Linked DNA regions of Macaca fascicularis. Each later gene encodes a partner of the first gene's protein in a complex. Links are inferred from orthologs where the notes say so. Each region holds a gene or a part of one and is shown in the gene's direction. Other genes may lie near its edges.

What was found. The genes of interacting proteins can lie anywhere in the genome.
Region 2: NOD2 (region 1) and MAP2K3 share a complex: the UniProt entries of both Homo sapiens proteins name them as parts of the signaling complex. The link is inferred for Macaca fascicularis from reciprocal best matches to the Homo sapiens genes NOD2 and MAP2K3.

Annotation. Positions count from the first base shown.
Region 1 is NC_088394.1:46,664,175-46,671,618, forward strand, and holds part of NOD2 (nucleotide-binding oligomerization domain-containing protein 2), read left to right. Parts: intron 1-3,364; coding exon 3,365-3,470; intron 3,471-6,060; coding exon 6,061-7,444. UniProt on the Homo sapiens protein: Pattern recognition receptor (PRR) that detects bacterial peptidoglycan fragments and other danger signals and plays an important role in gastrointestinal immunity.
Region 2 is NC_088390.1:20,709,848-20,717,391, forward strand, and holds the start of MAP2K3 (dual specificity mitogen-activated protein kinase kinase 3), read left to right. Parts: upstream 1-3,721; 5' UTR 3,722-3,895; coding exon 3,896-3,944; intron 3,945-4,077; exon of another isoform or gene 4,078-4,304; intron 4,305-7,019; exon of another isoform or gene 7,020-7,544. UniProt on the Homo sapiens protein: Dual specificity kinase. Is activated by cytokines and environmental stress in vivo. Catalyzes the concomitant phosphorylation of a threonine and a tyrosine residue in the MAP kinase p38.

The DNA of each region.
Region 1 (7,444 bases):
CATTTTTTTTTTTTCTTTTTGAGACAGGGTCTCACTCTGCCACATAGGCTGGAGTGCAGGTAGTATGATCTTGGCTCATTGCAATCTCCACCTCCTGGGGTTAAGAGATTCTTCTTCCTCAGCCTCCTGAGTAGCAGGGATTACAGGCACTCATCACCACATCCAGCTAATTTTTATATTTTTAGTAGAGATGGGGTTTTGCTATGTTGACCAGACTGGTCTTGAACTCCTAACCTCAGGTGATCTGCCCATTTTGGCCTCCCAAAGTGCTGGGATTAAAGGCGTGACCCACCACACCCAGCCTCCAAAACCATTTTAAAACTCTTTCTGGAAGCTTGTAAAATTTTCTTTTAGTCCCCAGCATTTTAAAATTTCAGTGATGTGCCTTGGTGTTCTTCCGTTGTGTTGGTCACCCAAGAGGTACTTTGAATCTGGAAACTTCTGTCTTTATGTTTTGGGAAATGTTCTTGATTAGTTTATAGGTGATTTCTTCCTCTCCATTTTATCTCTTCTCTTTTTATGAAACTACTATTACTTCAATGTTAGAACTCCTTGACCGCTCATTTAATTTTCTTCTATTTTCCATCTCTGTGTCTTTTTGATCTACTTTTCTATGATAGTCACAACTCTATCTTTAAACTCTTGAATTTTTCATTTTTGATGTCATGATTTTAGTGTGCAAGAGGTAGGTTTGACTGTTTCTTTTTTGTAGTATCTTACTCTTGTTTTATGGATGCAACATCTTCTTTGACTTAAGGATCATAAGATAGGTGGGTTCTTTGTTTGTTTGTTTGACTGTTTTTGACCCTATGTAAACCTTTTCTACAAGTAGCTTTCCCCTTCCTCCCTTGTTTGGCTTCTATCTCCCACATTAGATGCTTTCTGTGAGCTCATGATACTCCTTGGTTTTCTTTCTCAAGACTAACAGGTAGGACTTTAAAACTTGTTGAGCACGTGGGTGAAACTTGTCTACCATGAATTTCACTGTAGACATTTTGGGAAATGACAGTGTTTATATCTTTAGATCTTGCCTCCTGGGTTAATCAAGTTGTCTGAGTAGACCACAGACTTTTGCCTGGGGATAAACCAGAAATGTGTTTCAGAAAACACTTTGATTCAGTCCTCCTTGTTTTAGTCATTTCCTCCAGTTCCGGAGGTCCCTCATGCTGATCATTCCAGAGCCCTTTACAGATTCTAGGATACACACTGCATGGTTTTCAACTTTCTCATTTTGACATTAAGATTTGACTTTCAGGAGTCTCCCCAGTCCATTACCATTTGTTCATTCAGCAAGTCCTTGAGCACCCGATTTGTGCCAGACACTCTTCTAGGTGTTGGGGATACCTCAGTGAACAAAATAGACAAAAATCTTTGTCCTGGAAATACGCACACTCCAGTAAGGGGAGAGGGACAATAAGCCAAAGGAAGGAAATTACAGAGTGTGCTAGAAGGTGATAAGTGCTGTAGAAAGTAAGTAAAATGGGTTTGGGAGTTGAGAGTTTGGGAAGGGGATAAATGATGGCAATTTTAAATAGAGTAGTCAGAGTTCTCACTTAGAAGGTGAAATTCGAGTAAAGACTTGAAGGAGGACAGTGAATTAGCCACATGGATGGTTGGAGGAAGGCTTCCAAGCTGAGGGGACAGCCAGAGCCAAGGCCCAGAGGCAGGAGCATGCCTGGTAGTTTTAGGAAACAGGAGGCCAGGATGCTGAGTGGAGTAATAGGGGGCATGAAAGGAGAAACTTGGGTCCACATGGTTCTAGACAGGTATTTTTGTCTGTTTTGGGACCTGAAGTTTACTGTTGGACTTGGACTCTTATTCTGAGGAAATAGGGATGTTATTGGGACGTTTGTACAGGAGCGATGTGACCTGAGTTTTGTTTGTAACGGATTAGACTCTGTCTGTGGCATTAAGGCTAGGCTGTGGGGGCAGGAACAGAAGCAGGGGGACCAATTTTGTGGCCTGTGCAGCTTTCTAGGTGAGCAGGGATTGTGGGTTGGAGGAGGATGGTATAGAGGAGGTGACAGGAAGTGGCAGGGCTCTCTAGCTGTGTGTCTGGTATGTAGACACTGGCCACAGATGGCATTTGAGCACTAGAGACCCGGCTGGTCCACATGGAATTTCCATAAGCACATAATACACACCAGATTTCAAAGACTTAATATGAAAGAAAGAATGAAAAATACCTTGCTATTTCTTTTCTTTTCTTTTCTTTTTTTTTTTTTTTTTGAGACCCAGGCTCGCTCTGTCACCCAGGCTGGAGTGCAGTGGTGTGATCTGGGCTCACTGCAATCTCTGCCTGCCAGGTTCAAGTGATTCTCCTGCCTCAGTCTCCTGAGTACCTGGGACTACAGGCACATGCCACCACACTTGGCTAATTTTTTGTATTTTTAGTGGTGATGGAGTTTCACCACGTTGTCCAGGCTACTCTGGAACTCCTGACCTCAGGGGATCCGCCTGCCTTGGCCTCCCAAAGTGCTGGAATTACAGGCGTGAGCCACCAGGCTCGGCCATATTTTGCTATTTTCTACATGGATTACATGTTGCAATGGTAATGTTTGGACTATTGTGGGTTAAATAGAATATATGATTAAAGTGAATTCATCTATTTCTTTTAACTTTAAAACATATGTCTGTTAGAGGATTTGAAATTCCACATGCGGCTTGCATTTGTGCCCTGCATTTTATTTCTGTTGGACGGTGCTCTTTGGGACGTGCTTTGAAGGTGGAGTCAACAGGATTTGACAGATTACAGAGGAGAGACTTCGAGGGTGATTCCACGACTTCGGGGCTGAGCACCTGGAAGAATGGGGTTAATATTAGCCAAGATGAGGAAGGCTGTTGGTTTGGCAGGTGCGTGGGCAGGTTAGGAGTTTAGTTTTGAATATGTTGGAGGTGTTTATGAAACTTTTAAGTGGAAATGGAAACTAGGCAGTTGGATGCGTAAGTCCAGGGTTCAGGGGGACAGTTCAGGCTGGAGATGAAGATGTGGGAGTCTGAGCAGAGATTGTATTCAAATATTCAATCCATGAGACTTGATGAAATCACTTCTCTTCCAAATGGTGTACAGCCTACAGAATCATTTTCCCTATCTTTGTAGGTTTATGTCTTCATGTTGTTTCATTTATTTTTCAGTTATTCACTGTTTCAGTGAGTTTTGGGTAGGAGCCAGATTGGATGCGTGTGTTCAATTCACCATCCAACACTATTAACGACTTGAAACTTCTGTGGTTGTTCAGTTGCTTTTCTGACCTTTTATTCTGGACAGAAGAGAGATGCTTATGAAGTTGTAGTAATCAGTAAGCCTTCCCACACTGCTCCATCAGCCTTCCTGGAGGAACAATGTCTTCTGTCTTTCCCGTAGGCAAGAAGGCTGCTCGATCTTGCCACAGTGAAAGCGAATGGATTGGCCGCCTTCCTTCTACAACATGTTCAGGAATTACCAGTCCCGTTGGCCCTGCCTTTGGAAGGTAGGTATATGTTCTCAGTTAATCAGAAAGGGAAGGGCAGTCAGTGCAGATCCATGGTTAAGAGTAGAACACACCTCGGTTAGCGTCCCATATGCTGGCAGTGTAGCCTCCATGTGACTCAGTTTCCTTGTTTTAAGGCTACCACCACCCCCTATCTCATTGCAATTTTAGGAGGATTAAAAGGACAAAAGCGTGTGATGTTAGCTATTAGCTTTCATTATCTCCCACACAGTACACTGACAATTGGAGCTACCATATGCTGAAGGCTAACTAAAGGTGTTACTTACCATCCAAACTCTCGTTATCTGTACCAAAAAGATACGGACACGCGTTTTGAGTTAGGGCTGGTACCTCTTGATCTCTGAAATTTAGCAGCTCACAATCGGAAACTCAAGAACCAAGTGGATCTAGAGACTCTGGTATCCCTCAGTGCCCAGGGTCACCACCCAAACTCAGGAACAGGAGGAGCTTGGACAGCACCTCTTGAACATACCAGGCATCCTGCCGGGTGCTTTATGGACAATGTCTACCCTTTGCAACAACCCTGAGAAGTAGGTGGTGGTTTTTTCACCTTATAGATGTGGAAACTGGGCAGGGAGGTTAAGTGACAAGGGAGGGGGAGATGGGTCTGATTGTAAATTGTCCCCACCTACACTTTCTCTTTTCTTGGGAGAAGAAATGTCAGTTGTAAAGAGAGGGTGCAAAAGTCTGGCACTCTTTAGGGCTTGTTCCTATACCACTGTAGGGAAAGCTCATTGGCACTGAAGCTCCCTGAGCTGTGCGTGGTGCTGGCAGTTGGGTCTATCACCCTGGGCCCTGCCCTGTGGGCAGCAAGCAAACCTGTGGGAGGGGTGGCTGTAAGTCTGTGCCTGGCACTCGCGAGTGCACTGTCTCGTCAAAGAACGGGATCTAAACATCAGTGCACCACAGGGGGGTTGAGCAGCATGGAGCGCGGGGCCTGGTTTGGCCCTTGGTTGAGGTTTGCCGTTGATATCATCAAGCACAGCTGGTCACTGTAAGACCAGGCCAGGGTGCAGGATTCCCCACACTTCTAAAGGTGTGTTTATTTCTCTATAAAATGACATTTTCTTTTTTTCCGGAGAATTTTAGTATCATTGGTGATGGCTGGAAAGCCTGCATTGGAAATCAGGTCGGAAGAGGAAGATATATATCTGATATGTATTGGAGAGGAAGATATTTACCTTATGGTCTAAGTTCAGGGATCCTGGTGTATTCAGAGGGCAGAAAGCTCAGCAATAATCATCAACTCTGGGAACAACAGAGGTGACGTAAACACAGGGCGTCCCCTTTGTGTGACTGCAGATAGTCGTCAGTGAGCTCAGAGCTCTCTGAAAATTACTTGTTAGTTTTTGGGTTGAAAATAAGTGGGCCAGTGTTTGGTTGGGGGCAGTGAGGCTGTGATGGCGGGGGACCGTGCTGAGTTCCTACCAGCCGGGGACTCTAAACCAGCACTTCCCCGTTTCCTGAAAGGGGAACTAAACCCTGACACAGGAAATGGCTCGCTCGCATTGCTTTCAGGATGAGAAAGGAAGAGCAGTAGCCTTCCAAACACACCCTGTGCATGAAAACTCTCCCTGCATGGGGTGCATGGGGAGGATGAGGAAGTGGAGGCAGGATCACAGACTCTCATTCTAGTGCTCAGCTGGGGCACCCTGGTGACCCCGAGGCCTTCTATTGCTAGGCCCACCCAGATCAATCAGGCTCATCTCCCCATCTCGAAGTTTAACTTTATCACATCTGCAGAGTTCCTTTTGCCACATAAGGTAACATATTCACAGGTTCTGAGGATCGGGACACGGACATCTTCGAGGGTCTATTGTTGTGCCTACTATAGCCATGAATAATAATGATAATAAGCACCATTTTTTGAGAGTTTGCCATGTCAGATATTCTTTTAAACTCTATTTTATCTCACTGCCTCCTGAAACAATCCTTCCAGGTGTATATTGTCCCCATTTTTACAGATGAGAGAACTGAGGCCCAGAAAGGCTAAATGGCTTGCCCAAGTGTGTGGTGGACGCAGGTTTTCACGCTCCGGTGTGTCAGACTTCAGAGACTGGGCTCCTGAGCCCTGAAGCCCTTTGTTCCCCTTAGAAAAAGTTAACTGAGAGTGAATGGTGAAGGGATTTATCCAAAGCCACCTGGCCATTATGGCAGGACAGATATCAGAATACAGGTCTTCTGATCCCAGCCTAGAGCCCCTTCCCATCATCTACAACTCCTCCTGGTGTGAGTAATGATAACGGCAGTCACTGATGTCTTTGGACTTACTTTGTGTTGAGCACTGTGCTGAGCACTTGACATACGTCATCTTAGTTGATCCGTGTAAAAAGTCTGTAAGGTAGAGATCAACATTTCTCCCACCTTACAGAGGTGGAAACTGACCGTTAGGAAGTTTCCTTGATTGTCCTCAAAGTCCACAGCTTGTGAATGGAGGAGCCAGGATGGGCGCTTGCTGGCTGTCCTATCCCTTCAGTTATGTCAGCTTCCCCCACAGCAGCCCACTGTCTGATTAGGTCCCCTCTTCACCATGGTGCCACCTTCATCTGCCTCTTCTTCTGCCTTCCAGCTGCCACATGCAGGAAGTACATGGCCAAGCTGAGGACCACGGTGTCTGCTCAGGCTCGCTTCCTCAGCACCTATGATGGGGCAGAGACGCTCTGCCTGGAGGACATATACACAGAGAATGGCCTGGAGGTCTGGGCAGACGTGGGCATGGCTGGACCCCCGCAGAAGAGCCCGGCCACCCTGGGCCTGGAGGAGCTCTTCAGCACCCGCAGCCACCTCAACGACGATGCAGACACCGTGTTGGTGGTCGGTGAGGCGGGCAGCGGCAAGAGCACGCTCCTGCAGCGGCTCCACTTGCTGTGGGCTGCAGGGCGAGACTTCCAGGAATTTCTCTTTGTCTTCCCATTCAGCTGCCGGCAGCTGCAGTGCGTGGCCAAACCACTCTCCGTGCGGACACTACTCTTTGAGCACTGCTGTTGGCCTGATGTTGATCAAGAGGACATCTTCCAGTTCCTCCTTGACCACCCTGACCGTGTCCTGTTAACCTTTGATGGCTTTGATGAGTTCAAGTTCAGGTTCACGGATCATGAGCGTCACTGCTCCCCGACCGACCCCACCTCTGTCCAGACCCTGCTCTTCAACCTTCTGCAGGGCAACCTGCTGAAGAATGCCCGAAAGGTGATGACCAGCCGTCCAGCCGCTGTGTCAGCATTCCTCAGGAAGTACATCCGCACCGAGTTCAACCTCAAGGGCTTCTCTGAACAGGGCATCGAGCTGTACTTGAGGAAGCGCCATCGTGAGCCTGGGGTGGCAGACCGCCTCATCCGCCTGCTCCAAGGGACCTCAGCCCTGCACGGTTTGTGCCACCTTCCTGTCTTCTCGTGGATGGTGTCCAAATGCCACCAGGAACTGTTGCTGCAGGAGGGGGTGTCCCCAAAGACCACTACAGATATGTACCTGCTGATCCTGCAGCATTTTCTGCTGCATGCCACCTCCCCAGACTCAGCCTCCCAGGGTCTGGGACCCAGTCTTCTTCGGGGCCGTCTCCCCACCCTTCTGCACCTGGGCAGACTAGCCCTGTGGGGCCTGGGCATGTGCTGCTACGTGTTCTCAGCCCAGCAGCTCCAGGCAGCACAGGTCAGCCCTGATGACATTTCTCTTGGCTTCCTGGTGCGTGCCAAAGGTGTCATGCCAGGGAGTACGGCGCCCCTGGAATTCCTGCACATCACTTTCCAGTGCTTCTTTGCTGCATTCTACCTGGCATTCAGTGCTGATGTGTCACCAGCTTTGCTCAGACACCTCTTCAATTGTGGCAGGCCCGGCAACTCACCGATGGCCAGGCTCCTGCCCACGCTGTGCATCCAGGGCTCAGAGGGAAAGGACGGCAGCGTGGCAGCTTTGCTGCAGAAGGCCGAGCCGCACAACCTTCAGATCACGGCAGCCTT
Region 2 (7,544 bases), on another chromosome or scaffold:
TGTCTGGCTCACACACCAGGGCATACCTCCCCAGGGAGCTGTGCCCATCTTGTTCAATGTTGTGTTCTCAGTGCCGGTCACACAAGTAAGTGCTCAACGAATACCTGTTGAATGAATGAAGGAGCTGCCCACATCCTGGGCTTGGGTCAGCCTCTCTCTCTTTCTCTCTTTTTTTCCCATCATCAATATTTATTGAGCATTTACAGTGTACTAGGCAAAATAGAACATACAGAAAACATTGTCCCTGCTCTTGAGGAGCTTACATTCTAAAAGAAAAAATACAGCTCTTTTAAAATGGCATTTTTGTTTGGTATTTTCTGCAAAGCACCAAGGAAATATTTTGTAAAGTGAGCTTTGGGTATAACTTAGCCCCATCATTATTTAGAGAATAGAGGAAGAAGAAAGAGGAAGGATTTTAAAGGCAGACAATGACAGACCATTCAGGATAGGTAGGGTTTTAAAGGGAGATAAACACAATGTCATCAACTAAGGAGAGATTTGCTGCAGTAAATAGGATGAGGGAAATAGTCTGTGGGGTGCAAGCAAAGGAAGCAGGGTGTCGTAGACATTGAGTGGAGCCAAAAAGATCATGCGGCCTTTTTCCAAGTATGTGGCCACCAAGTACGAATGGTTGGTGACAAGACAAAAGGCTAAAAAAGGAAGGTAATCTCGTGCACCTGACAAATAGAAAGACTAAAGGATCAAAATCGAAAGCAGGCTCTAAGAGTATCAAGAAATTCTTAAAAACCCAAAAGTGATTTGGAAGCACAAAACTTATAGTTAATGCTATTGAGTCAGCCTCTTTCTAGAGCCTTCTGTCACCCCAGGTCCTGTCCACCTCAGATCATGCTTGCATCCTGACTTTGGCCACAATCCTTCCCATCCAGAGACTGAGTTTCCTGCATCCGCAGACAGCGGGTTTGGGACTTTTCTCCTAGGAGTCAAGGTAAGAGGCAGCCTCTTGTGACCCATGTCAAACATTTCTTCTGATTTCTGCATGGTCATGGAGTTCCCCAGCCTTACTGTGCCACTTACAGACAGAAAGAAATCAAGAGATGTCACTATAGCAAGCCGGCAAGAGACCTTTGTCTCTGATGGTCCTTGATCGTACTTCTTGAGCTGCAGCAATGCAGCTGTGCATCCCAGTCTGGCCCCTCACCCTGTCCTCATGTGTGGCCCTTTTTACATCTCCAACCCATTGCCTCTGCTGTTCCTTTCCAGCGATGCTCTTCTTGCCTCTCTGCCTGGCAAGCTCCTACTGGTCCTTAAAGTTCCAGTCTCAAAATCACCTCCTCTGAGAGGCCTTCCCTGACCGCACCCAGATGGAGATGCCTGCATCACCCAGGCACCCTACTGGGACTTTTGCTCATGCATCTATTTATAGCACTCACATGGAGTTTTGTGATTCCTGGGCTGTTTATCGGGCTCCTGACTAATCTACAAACTGCTTGTTTGCAAGGGCCCGTCTGAGTCATCTGGCTGCCAAGGAGGTTGGCACGGGACTGGAGTCGCTTCACCCTGGTCTGTGGATGCTTTCCTCCTTCCTTTTTTCATTCCTCAAATATTTATCAGGCACCTACTATGTACCTGGTTCTGGGCTGTGCATTGGGAACACAGCAGGGAATGAGGCGCAGATGGTCTGGAGGGAGAGCTGTGTTAAAAACTGAGTCAGTGACAAAGGCATCAGCAGCATGAGTGTTGTGCCTCAGTTTGGGGACCTGGGAAGGGAAGGTCCCCAAACTGATGGGAAGGCTTCTTAGGCGTGTTCATTTAGGAGGCAGTCTGAGGGATGAGAGGGAACCAGCCCCAGGAGGCTTGAGTGGAGGAATGTTCTGGGTGGAAGCAGCAAGGGTGAAGCTCCTGCAGCAGGACCATCACTGGCACATTTGAGGGGCAACACTAAGACTCTTGAACATCCCAAGGAGCAGAGTGCACAAGGCAGAGTGTCGGGGAGCAGAAGTCAAGGCTGTTGGCCGGTGCCTGAATCCAGAAAACTTGCTGGACCAGCCTTTCAGTTCTGGTAGAAAGGAAACTGCTACTGGATGCCCATTTTATGGATGGATAAGCGCAGGTCACCAGGGATGATACGGCCAGGATGGAGGCAGCCAACAGTGTTTTTGAACTCACATTTCCCGGGCACTTAGTGAGGGCCAGGCCCTAGGCCAGGTGTTCCCACTCCTGAACTCATGAAATGCTTTCAGAGACCTTCTTGTCCCCATGGGATAGGTAAACTGAGGCACAGAGCTGCTCAGTGACTTCTTTAAGGACATCCAGCTAGTAAGTGGAGGAATTGGTATTGGAACTCACACCTGTCTGAGCCCCAGACTCATGATTTTCCATCCCACTGCCTGTGAACAGGAGACGCAGGAAGAGAATGGTGACGGCTGCAAGGCTTCCCTCCTATCTCATGTGGCCCTCCCCGCTCTGTGTGCATGGGGCCCTGCATCACCCCCACTTTACACCTGGGCAAGCAGAGGTCAGGCCCGGCCTCAAGCGTTTCTAGCAGGTGGTGGAATCTGCTTCCCTCACGTGAGGTCCCCGACAGGGTACACACTCATGTCTGCCTGGAGGCCAGGGGCTGACCCCTTGACCTTTGCCTGGTACCTTCTGCCTTCACTAGCCCTGACTTTACATCCAGAGTCATCTGATCCCAGCGCCAGATTGGTCAGCGGTTCCTGAAATCCCCCAAGGTTCCGTGTGGGAGCAAAGAGAGGACTGGTCCATCCAGCCATTATACAGATGGGCAGACTGAGATCTTAGGAGGAGAGGAGAGAACCAAGGTCCAGGAGAGAGCCAGGATGGGGCCTCCGGGCTCGTGGGATAAAATGCACCGCATGCTGCCTCACTCCCTCTGAGACAGTTTCCCCCGGTGTAGAACAGGGGCAGCAACAACCAGCCACGACAACTCCTCGTGCTGCCTCGTCACCGGGCATCGCTGAGCTCACCACCAACCCCGCGCCCTGGCCGGGCGCCTGGAGCGCGGGCGCGGGCGGACGTTTGCTGGCGCCGGGCCCTCAGTGCGTGTCAGCGGGCAGCGCCGTCAGACGGCTGTCACCGCCGCCCGCTCACAGATGCGTAGACTGAGGCTCAGGTGTCACGACCTGACCAAGGCTAGTTCCGCTACAAAGTTGCCGACTCGCATCTGAACCCGGGTCAAATTTACAGAAAAGGAAACTGAAGCCCAGAGACACCAGGGAGCTTGCTGGGGTGAGGCAGCTGCAGGTTCAGAGAGCCAGGAGGCAGCCCAGCAGCGCACTTTTAACCCCCGCCCGCCTCGCCAGGCCCAGCCGTGCCACCTTTAGGGATCTCGGGTTTTTTCCAGACGACGCACCCGGGAGAACGCGCCCACTCATCGCACCCGCCGGGGCTGCGCGTCTGGGGGTGCTGGGCGGAGCCTGGCGCTTGCAAGGAGCAGCGGGCTCAGTGGGTCCCGGGAGTGGGTGGGGCTTGCGTGTTGACGGGCAGCGCGAGGGGCGCGGCTTTAGTCCAGGTGGGCGGAGCCTGACCGGACTTGGGTTTTTCGGGCGGCTGGCAGACTTGACAGAGAGCGGGAGGGGCCCGGATCCTGGGCCCACGGAGGGTGGGGCGTGTAATTGACAGGCAGGGACAGACCGGCGTCTGATAGGCAGGGGACGGGCCTTGGAAACGAAAGGGCCAATCGGACACGCAGGGGCGGGGCCTGAGTCAGCGCCGTTCGGCCGGGGTCCCCCCGGCGCTGCCCAGTCTGGCTCCGGCGCCGCCCGTCGCGGACTCGTCCCTGCAGTAGTCGCCGCCGCCGCCTCTGCTCCTCCGCCTGGCCCGGGCCGTCTGCCCGCAGCCATGAGCGTGCTCGGCCCCGGTGGAGCCCGCAGTCCTCTAGATTAGTCCCCACCGCCGTCCAGGACCAGCTTGCAGCATGGAGTCGCCCGCCTCAAGCCAGCCCGCCAGCATGCCCCAGTCCAAAGGTAGGCGATCCCGGCCGGAACCTCGGCCTGACCCCGCGCCCAATCTGGGGCCGGGCTGCAAACCCCGACCGAATTTCTTTGGTCCCACCCCATCCTGTTCTCGACCTGGCAGCGGCGTCCGGTCCCGGAACCCCTTCCTGTTCGGGGCCCCGGGACCGGCCGCAGCCTGGGTCCTCACCTGGACCCCCAGGTTAGGCCTTGGGACTGCATTCAGGCCCGAGATCACCCAGGCTGGACCCAGACTAGGACTTTGTTCTGCTCACCCCATCCAAGTCAGGAGCCTCACTCTGACCTCATTTGGGCCTTATGGCTGTAGCCTGGACAGGAACTCTCTCAGTCTTCTCCCTCAGAGGGACCCAGGTGAGATTCACACTGGCCTCCATCTGCGTCCTTGGGCAGCACCCACTCCCATTTCCAACTTGGGGTCCCAGGGCTGTATCCAGGCTGGGATTTAACTTAAGTCTCCATCTGGGCCCCAGAGTGCTTCTGTTGTTTCGGACCTCACTGTACCCGCTATGCGGGTGCTCTGGCTACACCCCAGCTCGGAACTCCCCGTCCTTCTCTCCTCCAGCTCTTCTTATCCTTATAGGCCCTATGTTGCCCCTTCCCTGGCTGGCCTGCACCCTGTCCTGCAGCCCTGTGCTCCCAGGAACCTCCCTTGTCCTCCCACCCCTCCCTAAGGTACAGCCCCCTCTCTACTGGCTTCTCTCTGTCTTGAGTTGCAAGCTTCTCCCTGCACTTGGGGTTCTCACCCCATCTTATTCCTCTCCTGGCTGCCTGGGATCTGGGCCAACCGCCAGGCCAGGGTGCTGGCTGTGCAAGGGATTTGCTCTTCTCCAAGTAGCTGGCCTTCCTGGAAATTTTTGTGAGGTGGCAGCAGCAGCAGGATTTGTCATGCGGAGGGGGAAGGATGAGACTCGGAGGGCAAAAGGGGAATTTTTTTTTCAGGAAGAGGAAAGGATGTTTTTGGTGCGTCGGAGTTTCAGTAGGCTGGGTTGTGTGAGAGATTTCCAAACCGGACGTAGCCGTAATGAATGGGCTGCCTCCTGCCTAGCTGAACCTGCAGCTGCTTCACCCCAGCAAGCTCCCTGGTGTCTCTGGGCCTCAGTTTCCTTTTCTGTAAATTGGAAGTAATCACACCTGCTTCTGTGGACGCGGGAGTGTGGCGTGGGGTGGTGAATACAAAAGAGCTCTGAGGTGTTCACTCAGCATAGCGCCTGGCGGAGAGCCGGTGCTCACCAGGGGACACTGGCTGCACACATCTCGCTATTGTTTCCATTCTTCTTGCTGGAAAGGCCTCCACTGCTGGAACTGCAGCCGCAGAGTGAGCAGGAGGAAGCATCTAGCAGCGGGCACCTAGTGGGCCCCTCATCGGGGATCAGCCGCTCTTCTGCTCTGGAGGGCGCAGGCCAGTGGGAGCCCTGTGGGGGCTTGGGGAGGGCACGGGCTCTTCCTGGCCCCTGCTGCTGGCTGCTGTGGTGGCTGGAGCCGGGTGGGCAGGATAATTATGCCTTACATAAGTGGGAGGCCGGATCCCTGACCATTGCCCAACCACTGTGAGTAACTCAGGAGGCACTTGAGGGGGGAGGTGTCTGGGGAGGGACTTGCACTGCCCAGACCTCGTGGAGCTTGGGAACCAGGAAATCAGACACTTCTCCACTCTGGAGAGCCTGGGGAAGGGTAGGAAGCCCTGTTTGTTTTGGAGGCTTTTTAGCTCTCCAGGCAGAGAATGCCTGATCAAAATAAAAGTTCCAGTTGCAGAGTTGTGAAGGGAGAGGGGTCATAGATGTGGTGAGAACGCTGTGAGAGGGCCAAGATGAACTTCTAGATAGGGACCCAGGTCGCAGATGAAATTGAGGGAGCTGGATGGAGGGTCAGGGACCTCCCTCAGGCCCAGCGACCCTGTAGTCTCTTTGGGATCTGGGGAAGGATGTGGTGACAGAGCCGCAATGCCCTTCACCAAAAACGCTATGAGCTTCTTCTTTTTTTCCATGTGCCATGCATTTTCTCATTTATTCCTCATAGCCCCATTTATAGACAAGGAAACTGAGGCGTTAAGTGCCTTGCCTGAGGCCACGCAGCTGTGACAGGCGGAGCTAGGGTTCCCCCTAGGACTGCATCCCCACAGTGGCCTTCTCCGTGCTCCCTTATGTGCCCCTCCCATGCTGGATGCCTGAGCTGAGCTGGTGGGGTGCCCCCACCCCTGGCCTTGCTCAGAGCATGTGCAGTGGGCCTGTCCTCATGGCCATGTCAGACCTAGAGGACAGACTGAGGCAGAGGTGCTGCTGCTCTTGTGCACAGTGCTTTACACTGGGCCTGTTGCATACTCGCTGCAAAATCCCACTCATTTGACAGATGCAGAACTGAGCTTGGATGGAGTAGCCGAACTGCTCCCACAGGTGGAGATCCTCACCCCGTGCCTGCCCCATCCTGGGCACTGGGCCTCCCAGCACTGAGCCCTTCTCCACCTTCTCAAAGGAATTTGAACAAAGCAGGGAGTGGCTGGCGCTTGACCTTACTGGAGCTTTACCTTTGAGCTTCCTGCCTTGCAGCAGGTACCCTGCCCTATCCTTCCTGCCATGGGCCTGGGGAGTTTTCCGTGAGCGTGTGAGGCCCTCAGGCCCACAGCTCTGTTGGTTTTCCCCTGGCCTTCTTGCCCACATGGCCATCTCTGGCTGGGATCAGAGGCCAAGTGGCCGGCGCTGGGGCCAGTGGGTGGGGGCATGTGTGCAAGCCACATTTGTCCTTGGAGGGTACCATGTGTGTCCTGTTGTCATTCAGAACGTGGGTTCTGCCCCTTCTGCCCTAAGAGTGCCACCTGTGGGGGCACTTCATGGCTAATCTTCACACAGCTTGGACTGTGGCTGTAGGACTCCTGACTGCCCAATGGGGTCACTGAGGTTTCATGGAGCACTGTTGTATCCTAGCCCTGCCTATTGTGGCCATCCCCCATCCCCCGGCTGTCGGAAAGACTGGAGGTGGCACCTCGGGGACTTCCCCCACCCCTCTTGTGACGCACAGGAAACTCTCTGTCAGCCAACCCATGGCCCAGGGCCCAAAGGGAGCAAAGTTCTCAGTTGGCCTGTGTGAGGAGAAGGCCGGGGCAGCGGAGGCTTCCGGCGGTGAGTCAGCGGGCACTGAGTGCTGACTCACCTGCTGGGCATGCCAGCCGGCTGCCTACAGCTTAAAGGGGCGATGCCTGCTGGCCTGGTGGGTGGGGAGGGGGTTACGTGTCCTGCAGGTGGCACCTAGCCCTGAGCTGGAGCACTGGAGGTGGCCCCTTCCTGCGCCTCGGACTAGGCTGGGAACCCCTGGGCAGGCCCTCTGTGCCCCACCCAGGAACTTCCTCTGTTAGGCAAGGGGCTCTGCTTCCTCTTGCTCACAGAGCAGGAGCAGGTGGCGGTGACTGTTTACTACCCTTGGTCCAGGGGACACCTCAGGTTCAGCTGTGCATCTGGGACTCAGGGAGGGCGAGGAGCAGAGGTTGTGCAGGGTCGGCTGGGGTGGGACCCGACCTGAGGTCCTGGAAGATGGTGATGTGGAGAGGCTGAGACCTCAGTTTCCAGAGCCTGACTGCCTGGGTTCATACCCCAGCTCTGT